Canis lupus familiaris: one gene and its partner. The main gene of each other region encodes a partner of the protein of the gene in region 2 in a complex. Links are inferred from orthologs where the notes say so. Each region holds a gene or a part of one and is shown on either strand. Other genes may lie near its edges.

Region 1 (3,807 bases), on a different chromosome or scaffold from region 2:
ACGCACACCCTCGGGCTGTGCGAGTCCATGGAGCTTCATGAGGATTTCTGCTGTGCCTACCCCAAGGTGACTAGCACAGGGTTTGGGGGGAGGGCGGAGTTTCAACAAGCAAACCCCAATAAAAAGGGGCCATCCCAGTATCCTGAGATGCAAAAGCTCGGCTCATCCCACCCAGGGAAGGTGAGGCCGACGGTGACAACAATGCGCCGTCACCGAGACCTCGCCATCTTTCACGGAGACCAAACATGCTTCTTGGTGTCAACACCTGCCTCTTCAGGACGCCCCGATGAGGTTGCAAGAACAGAGACGTTCTCTCTCCCTCGCGTAGGGACTTAGGCCCCGAGAGAGCAGGTCGCCCCTCGGATGACACGGATGCAATGAGTAAGCATTTCGTGGACCTCCTGATAACACGTGTTCCCCGCTTCTTTGTATTTTTGTAACACAATTAAACACAGACAGCGGGCGGCCCGGGGGCTCGGCGGTTTAGTGCCTGCCTTCACCCTGGGGTGTGATCCCGGGGTCCCGGGATCGAGTCCCACGTCGGGCTCCCTGCATGGAGCCTGCTTCTCCCTCTGCCTGTGTCTCTGCCTTTCTCTCTCTCTCTCTCTGTGTCTCTCATGAATAAATAAAATCTTTGAAAAAAAAAAAAAACACAGACAGCGACAACTCCTGCCTTTATGAAGCCGTCTCTCCAGGGACAGCGCCTAGGACGTCCTCCTCCCCTGGGGACGGAGTTAGTGACTGAAACAAGATCGCCTTCCTCCACGGCCGGTCCTGTCCTTCCAACCTCGTCTCCCACCCCGTCTCCTCTCCAACACGAGCTCCTCGCCCTTGAACATGGACAACGTTCTGAAACAACTGACCTCCCCTTCCACCTCCCCTTCAGTGCTCAGTCCCCACGCCTGCCCGTCCCGCTCCCACCTGGCGGATCCCCTCCGCCACTGGCCAGGCCGTGGGCTCCATGTCCTCCTCGGGGAAGCCGGCCCCCACCACACCTGCCCACGGGACCCCTCCTTCCTCTTAGACTCGAAGGCTGACCAGGTGAGGGAGACCCCACGGCACAGTTTGTGGGAGTGAGGGCTCCCAGATGCAACGGCCAAGCTCTCGGGCCTTCGAACCTCGCACTGGCTCAGCTGAGGACGGGCACCCTCGGAATGTTCCACAGAAGCTCTGGCCACCGCTGTAACCGTGCTGAGACTCTGCCACAAATTTACTACCCACCAAAACGAAGAGGACACATTTCTACAATGACCTGGTCGACGGGAACATGGCAGGTCCACACAACTTTCCAGGCAGTCACAGATTAAGGAAAATCGGATTGACCTGTGGCTTGGAGCCCTCGAGTCTGCTCGAGGGATGGCTGTACCGAGTTACTCAAGAAGGCAGGACACCTCCTCGGGGGGTGGGGGGGGCCCAACCTTGCTCCCGGCCCTCCCGAGGCTCTGCCCAGGCAGCAACCTGGCGGTGGTGCCCGGTACCTTTATCTGCTTGATCTCATACTGAATCCGCTTGATGGGGTTGCCGTAGATGTCATTCCCAGAGTCCACCTCCTTCACACTGACCGCTTTGGCCCTAATCACTGCAAAACAAAGACAGGGAGGTGAGTGGAGCCACCACAGTGCTGTCCTGGCTCCGGGGCGGGGTGGGGGTGGGGGCACGATGAAGCCAGCCCCTTGCACGGTGTCAGACCCCACCCACGGCGAGGGGCAGGGGCGAGGGGTGAAGCTCTGAGACCCCTTCCAGTCCCAGGATTCTTCAGCAAGAATGTTGACAGGTGGGACACCTGGGTGGCTCAGCGGTTTAGCACCTGCCTTCAGCCCAGTGTGTGATCCTGGAGACCCGGGATCAAGTCCCACATCAGGCTCCCTGCGTGGAGCCTGCTTCTCCCTCTGCCTGTGTCTCTGCCTCTCTTTCTCTCTGTGTCTCTCATGAATAAATAAAGAAAATCTTTGGGAAAAAAAAAAAGAATGTTGACAGGGACCCAAAGCAGAAGGCTGGTGTCTCACCGGTAGCGAGGTTACTGGGTAGTCACTGATAAAGCTCTTTGTTGATGTCACGCCTAAGTGCTTTGGGGCTTTTTAAAATTCTCTCCAACGAACGGGTAGGCTGCGGCTGGGCAAGCAGATAAGCAAATTAACTGGGCCACAATCATCATATAATTAAGGATGGTGGCTTCCTACCACCCAGCCTCCATCCACAGCCTACTGCAAACAGGCTTTTCCAGGCTGAAAGCAGAGGGATAACCGCCTTCCAAAGAGGCCCCATCATAGTTAGGTTTGGGGGTCTTATATTGGAAAGGTCTATCCTACTACTCCTAATCTGTCCTAAAGGCGTCCCGGATAAATGTCCCACGGACGATGCTTTATAATGATACGTTCTGGGCAGCCCTGGTGGATCAGCGGTTTAGCGCCTCCTTCAGCCCAGGGCATGATCCTGGAGACCTGGGATGGAGTCCCATGTCGTGCTCCCTGCATGGAGCCTGCTTCTCCCTCTGCCTGTGTCTCTGCCTCTGTCTCTCAAAATAAATAAAATTTATTTAAAAAAATAGTAATAACACGTTCTATCAGGGGCATGACAGGCAAAGGGTCAGAGTGCTCGGCCCCCCCAGAGGCCATCGAGCTGGGTGAGGAAATGCTCACAGACCCCACTGGACAGAGGCCCAGGAAGGAGGCCAAACGGAAAGAAAACGGTCCCAGACCATGACACAAGGATGAAGGAGACGGGAAGAGGTCAGGCTGGGAAGGTTCGGGAACGTCCGCTCATGGGCCATGCACCACAGGGTTTCCTTCCTACCAGCAATTAAGCCAGGACCCGGACCCAGCCCGCGGCCTGACCAGGTGAGGGTCAGCGGGACCCAGACCCAGCCCATGGCCTGACCAGGTGACAGTCAGCAGGGCTCGGTCACTGGGGCAGAGCCCTCCCTTAATTCATTTCGAGGCTTATATCAGCGGGCACGGCCCATTTTAATGGCTTTAAAAGCTTTGCCCTCCACAGCTTGGCCAGCCGTGCGGGGTCCCCTGGGTGAGGGTTATGTGAATGCGGATGCAAGCCAAACAGAGCAATAAGGAACAGACGGAGCCAGGCACAGAGGCGCCTCCCTCCTCTGCCCCGGGTGCGGGGGCAGCTCATATCTTGGAGACCCCCACCCCCACCCTGGCCAGGGCCGTCTTCCCCACGACATGCACACGGATCCCATGTGCACCCACCACGCACCCCTGGCCCCAACCAGGCCCCAGAGGCCACCCCACCCCCACCCCGCCCAGCCCAAACCCCATTCTTAGGTCTCCTTCTGTTGGAGCTGAGTCACGATGGGCAGAGGCCGCAGGTTCCTGCCTCCCAGGCTGAGCCCGGCCCAAACCTGCAGAGCCACATCTAGGCAGTGCCAGCCAGGGGCCCAGGACAGAGGGCTCTCCCCTCGCTGGCAGGTCAGCCTGCTTGCAGTGACTCCTCAGGCTCCCACCCTTCTCCACCCCCAGCGCCAGCAGACTTTTTATAGCCTCATCCCTCCGGGCTCAAATGTCTTCCTCGGCCACCCACTGCCCTCCTCTAAAATAAGGACACCCCTGTGCGACCTGGTGCCAGCCGGCAGCTATCTCCGCTGCCCCAGCCACCCCCATCCTGCTGTTCCACAGTCCGGAAAGTCCTTAGAATCCGAACCTGCCCAGGGGTGTCCCCACCTCTGGACTCACAAGTCTCTTCTGGCCCAAATGCCATCTAACCTTCCCTGCCTGGAAAACTTCTATGCATCCCTCAAGACCCAGGCAAAATACCCCTTTCCTGTCTTGCTCTGGGAAATCCCGTCCTCCG
Region 2 (3,807 bases):
ATATGTGCATTTCGCCTTTATTTTTCACGTAGGGTAGATACTATCTTTAGCCCCATTTTCTGGGTGTAGAAACTGAGGCTGAAGTTGGCTCAAGGATACACCCGAAGAAAAGCTAGGGCGGAAGCGTCTGCGTTCTTAACACCTGCTCTACACTGCCAGTTTCCACAGCTGCGGGGAAGTACAGGGTGTCGCAGAGAAAGAAACATTTAAGACAGCCAGCAGGGAACACTGTAGGAGCCTGGGGACAGAGAGCCGAATGAAGAGCTTCGAGCCCCTGCAGAGCCAGCACCTTCTGATGTCATGATGTCGGGCCCTTCCCAGAGGAAAAGAACTTGGAACCAAATTGGTTCTCTCCCCTGAGCCTCGGTTTCCACATCTGTAAAATGAGGTGGCTTCCTGCCCTGCCCACCCTCTGTGGCTAGGCTGGATGCAAACACAGGGCACATAGCTCTGGGTCGGGGGTGGGGCTTCAGTGAAGGCCATGTGGATGATGTGGATGGAGGGCTGGGATTTTGAGCTGCAAACTTGGCTTTGGTACACCAGGTCACGAGGAAGCATGTTAGGTTTTGCAAGCAGTCTTATGATGCAGCTGGGATCAAGGAAGGCTTTTCTGGCAGTTTCTCAGAGTGACGGAGAAAGGGGGAAGCGAACCCCCCTGGAGAAGGGAACTTACAGGAGAAATTATTGTGGTGTTGGGGTGGCCGTGGGGAAGAGGATCCGCTCTGAGGCACAGCAGAAGAAAGCCTGGCTGTCACTAGAATGGCATTCAACCATGGATCTGTCTAGAAAGTTAGCTCCACAAGGGCAAGACTTTATCTTGATTTTAGTATATGCTGTTGAAGCGAGCACTATCTTGATTAATGCAATATCCACTGACAATCAGAGAGGAGGAGCTCATTAAATATTTAGGGAATAATAGGTTGAGTGTAAATAGAGAAGCAAAGGAATCAAAGTGAGCCTAGCATTTAAGAAATTCTCCCCAAATTGAAAAAGATGGAGACATTGCTAGCCAGGAAGAAGAATATGCCAGCTAATACCCCAGGTAACTACCTGGATAAAAGGCACAGCCCAGGATAACTACTCACCCTGTTAGCAGCAGTAGGGACTCCAGTGGCGGGAGGCCTGCCCCCTGACTAAGTGAGCTTCCACCCACATACCTGCACTGTTAACCTGGCCATCCCAGATGAGATCATCTCCCAGGATGTAGATTGTTACCTCCACGTGATGGATAAAGAAGCAGCAGTTTGTCCAAAGCCTCTCAGTGAAAGGTTGCTAAGGCTGGAATTTGTCCCTAGGTTCCTAGTCCAGTGCTCTTCATACCACAGCAGGGATCAGAAGTTTGTAAAGGGACTAACATTTCCCAAATATCTACTAAGTATCAGATATGGAGATAGGCACTTTGCATATATGTTCTTTCAATTCTTATATATGTCAATTAAAAACATTAACTACAACCCCATTTTATAGTTGGTAAAGTGGAGGTTTGGAAAGCAATTTACAGCCCTGGAGCCAGACAGGCCTGGGTTGGATTACTCCTTGGAAGCTGGGTGCCCTTTCTAAGCCTCTGGCCTGTAAAATTGGTATTAAGGTAATAACTGTGTCCTTGCGATTGTCACAAGGATTGACTGAGAAAGTATATGGAAAGTGGTTAATACACCGGTTACACTTTAGCAATAATCACAAGATTGCTCTTATGGGACTGTTTAAGTCACGTAATTAATAATGAGTAGTGGAGTTGGGATCCAGACCCCAGTCTGACTCCCTGGCCTTCCACTCCAGCCGGCTGCCTCCAGGCAGGGCTAGGGCTGGTTTCCCTGGGCTGGACCCTCCCATCAAGGTGGGAGGAGGGCTGGCCTCCAGGAGGTCCCACTGGTCCCTCAGATCCGCTTGCTTGCAGATACAATGAAGTCAAGAAGAAGATGGATCCTGGCTTCCCCAAGCTCATCGCAGATGCCTGGAACGCCATCCCGGATAACCTGGACGCCGTGGTGGACCTGCAAGGCAGTGGTGAGCTGCCCAGAGCCCTGTCCGCTTTCTAGGACAGGCCTCCCCACCCCCAGCCAGGGCCCAGCTCCCCACAAGCACACACTCCCTCATTGTGTAGGGAGGCAAGTGGTGCTGGGGCGGGGGCGGGGAACAAATCAGCCCCTTCAGCCCAGTACTGGGAAGGCATCCAGACCCCTGACCTCTGCGCACTCAGCCGGCTCCAGGCAGTAAGACCCAGAAAGGCCTCTCACAGCTGCAGGGCCTGGAGCCAGGGAAGGGGAGGGCAGGAGGCCTGCTGGAACAAGAAATATGGCTCTGTGCCCTGCATTCATTCTGGGGTTTGGTCCAGGCCCTTTCAGGTTCCACAGGAGGCCTTGTGACTGCCTCCCATTAGCAGAAGGATGGCTCCATTTGAGACAGGACAAACTTTGTCATGCCCTGTTGCTGATGTGGCAAAGATGTCCCACTCAACTCCATCCCTCGCTGAGTAAAATACAACCAAGTGTCAGCAAGGGATAGGATTTGGGGTTGGAAAAACATATTCTTGAGGAGGCTTCTGTGAGGTCTGCAGGGTCCTGGGAATGAGTCCAGTTTGGCTTTTCAGAGGAGGTTGCAATTAAATTCCACAAAGATTTCTATTGAGCCCCTATCATATGCGAAGCACACGGCCCAAACCTCCTGTGGCGAAAGGTCTCACATGTCCAAGAAAGAGCAAAGTATAATCCAGGGGCCTGGTTAAGGGTTCTCTTCAAGAATAAACATCTATGGAGTCCCTCTCACGTGCCGGGCTTTTAAAGGAGGCAAACAAGATCATCGATGTCAGGAGTCACACATTTTAAAGCCCATAGGGGCTGGGCCAGTAGCACCAATGAGTGAAGCAGACAAGGCAGACAGGAGGGAGGGGTGGGGTCTGTGGTGAACCAGAAGGCACATAGCTTCTTCACAATCATCTGCTTCTTGAGGCTGCTGCAAGAACGGGACCCAGTGCTGCTAGATATCCTAGCTGCTTTATTTTATTTTATTTTTCTAAGATTTTATTTATTTATTCATGAGAGCCAGAGAGAGAGGCAGAGATATAGACAGAGAGGAAAGCAGGCTCCCTGTGGGGAGCCTGATGTGGGACTCAATCCTGGGACCCCAGGATCACACCCTGAGCAGAAGGCAGACACTCAACCGCTGAGCCACCCAGGCGTCCCTATCCTAGCTGTTTTAAGAGGAAGCAAGAAATGTATATTTTCGTATGAAGTTTCCAGATGTTTATGTGTTGGCAACTTAGAATTCAGAACAAAACAAAACAAAATATGTGTGCAAGCCAAATAAAACCCCTCTGCAGGCCTGATGGAGTGAGAAGCCTCCTAGTTTGCTCCCTCTGGTCTCTGGGACTTGCTTAGTTTGTACCCATGCTCAGTGGAATGCTGTTATTTATACTCATAATAGCATATGTTATCTGATGTAGTCCTCGCCACAAGCTCTAAGAGGTCGGTATCTTAATTCCCATTCAAGATGAAAAACAGGGACTCAGGGAGTGGACTTCCCCAGCCATTCCCTTCCCTCTGGCCTCAGAGGGATCTTCTCTGGTTGAAAAGCCTGTGCCCTATGGCCGGTGGCTCTCAAAGCTCCCAGGAACCTTCCATGTCTCAGGGTGGGGTGGTGACAGCCTCCCCTCTTTCTCATCCCAGGTCATAGCTACTTCTTCAAGGGTGCGTATTACCTGAAGCTGGAGAACCAAAGTCTGAAAAGCGTGAAATTTGGAAGCATCAAATCCGACTGGCTGGGCTGCTGAGCAGGCTCTGGCTCCCCCAGGCCCTGCCCCGCCACATT

Evidence for each region.
Region 1: the proteins of MMP2 (region 2) and TIMP2 are in contact, whole or in part, in a crystal structure (PDB 1GXD), measured with the Homo sapiens proteins. The link is inferred for Canis lupus familiaris from reciprocal best matches to the Homo sapiens genes MMP2 and TIMP2. Residues at the interface, in NP_004521.1 of Homo sapiens: Trp574, Lys576, Asn577, Lys579, Tyr581, Phe588, Arg590, Lys595, Asp599, Phe602, Lys604, Ile606, Ala607, Asp608, Ala609, Trp610, Asn611, Ala612, Asp615, Tyr636, Leu638, Leu645, Lys646, Ser647, Val648, Lys649, Phe650, Gly651, Ser652; in NP_003246.1 of Homo sapiens: Ile162, Pro163, Cys164, Tyr165, Ile166, Pro169, Leu173, Met175, Val178, Thr179, Phe191, Arg196, Asp198, Ser200, Cys201, Ala202, Trp203, Tyr204, Arg205, Ala208, Lys211, Gln212, Glu213, Phe214, Leu215, Asp216, Glu218.

The regions. Positions count from the first base shown.
Region 1 is NC_049230.1:3,400,605-3,404,411, reverse strand, and holds part of TIMP2 (metalloproteinase inhibitor 2 precursor), read right to left. Parts: intron 1,580-3,807; coding exon 1,479-1,579; intron 1-1,478. UniProt on the Homo sapiens protein: Complexes with metalloproteinases (such as collagenases) and irreversibly inactivates them by binding to their catalytic zinc cofactor. Known to act on MMP-1, MMP-2, MMP-3, MMP-7, MMP-8, MMP-9, MMP-10, MMP-13, MMP-14, MMP-15, MMP-16 and MMP-19.
Region 2 is NC_049223.1:59,748,106-59,751,912, reverse strand, and holds part of MMP2 (72 kDa type IV collagenase), read left to right. Parts: intron 1-1,897; coding exon 1,898-2,007; intron 2,008-3,665; coding exon 3,666-3,769; 3' UTR 3,770-3,807.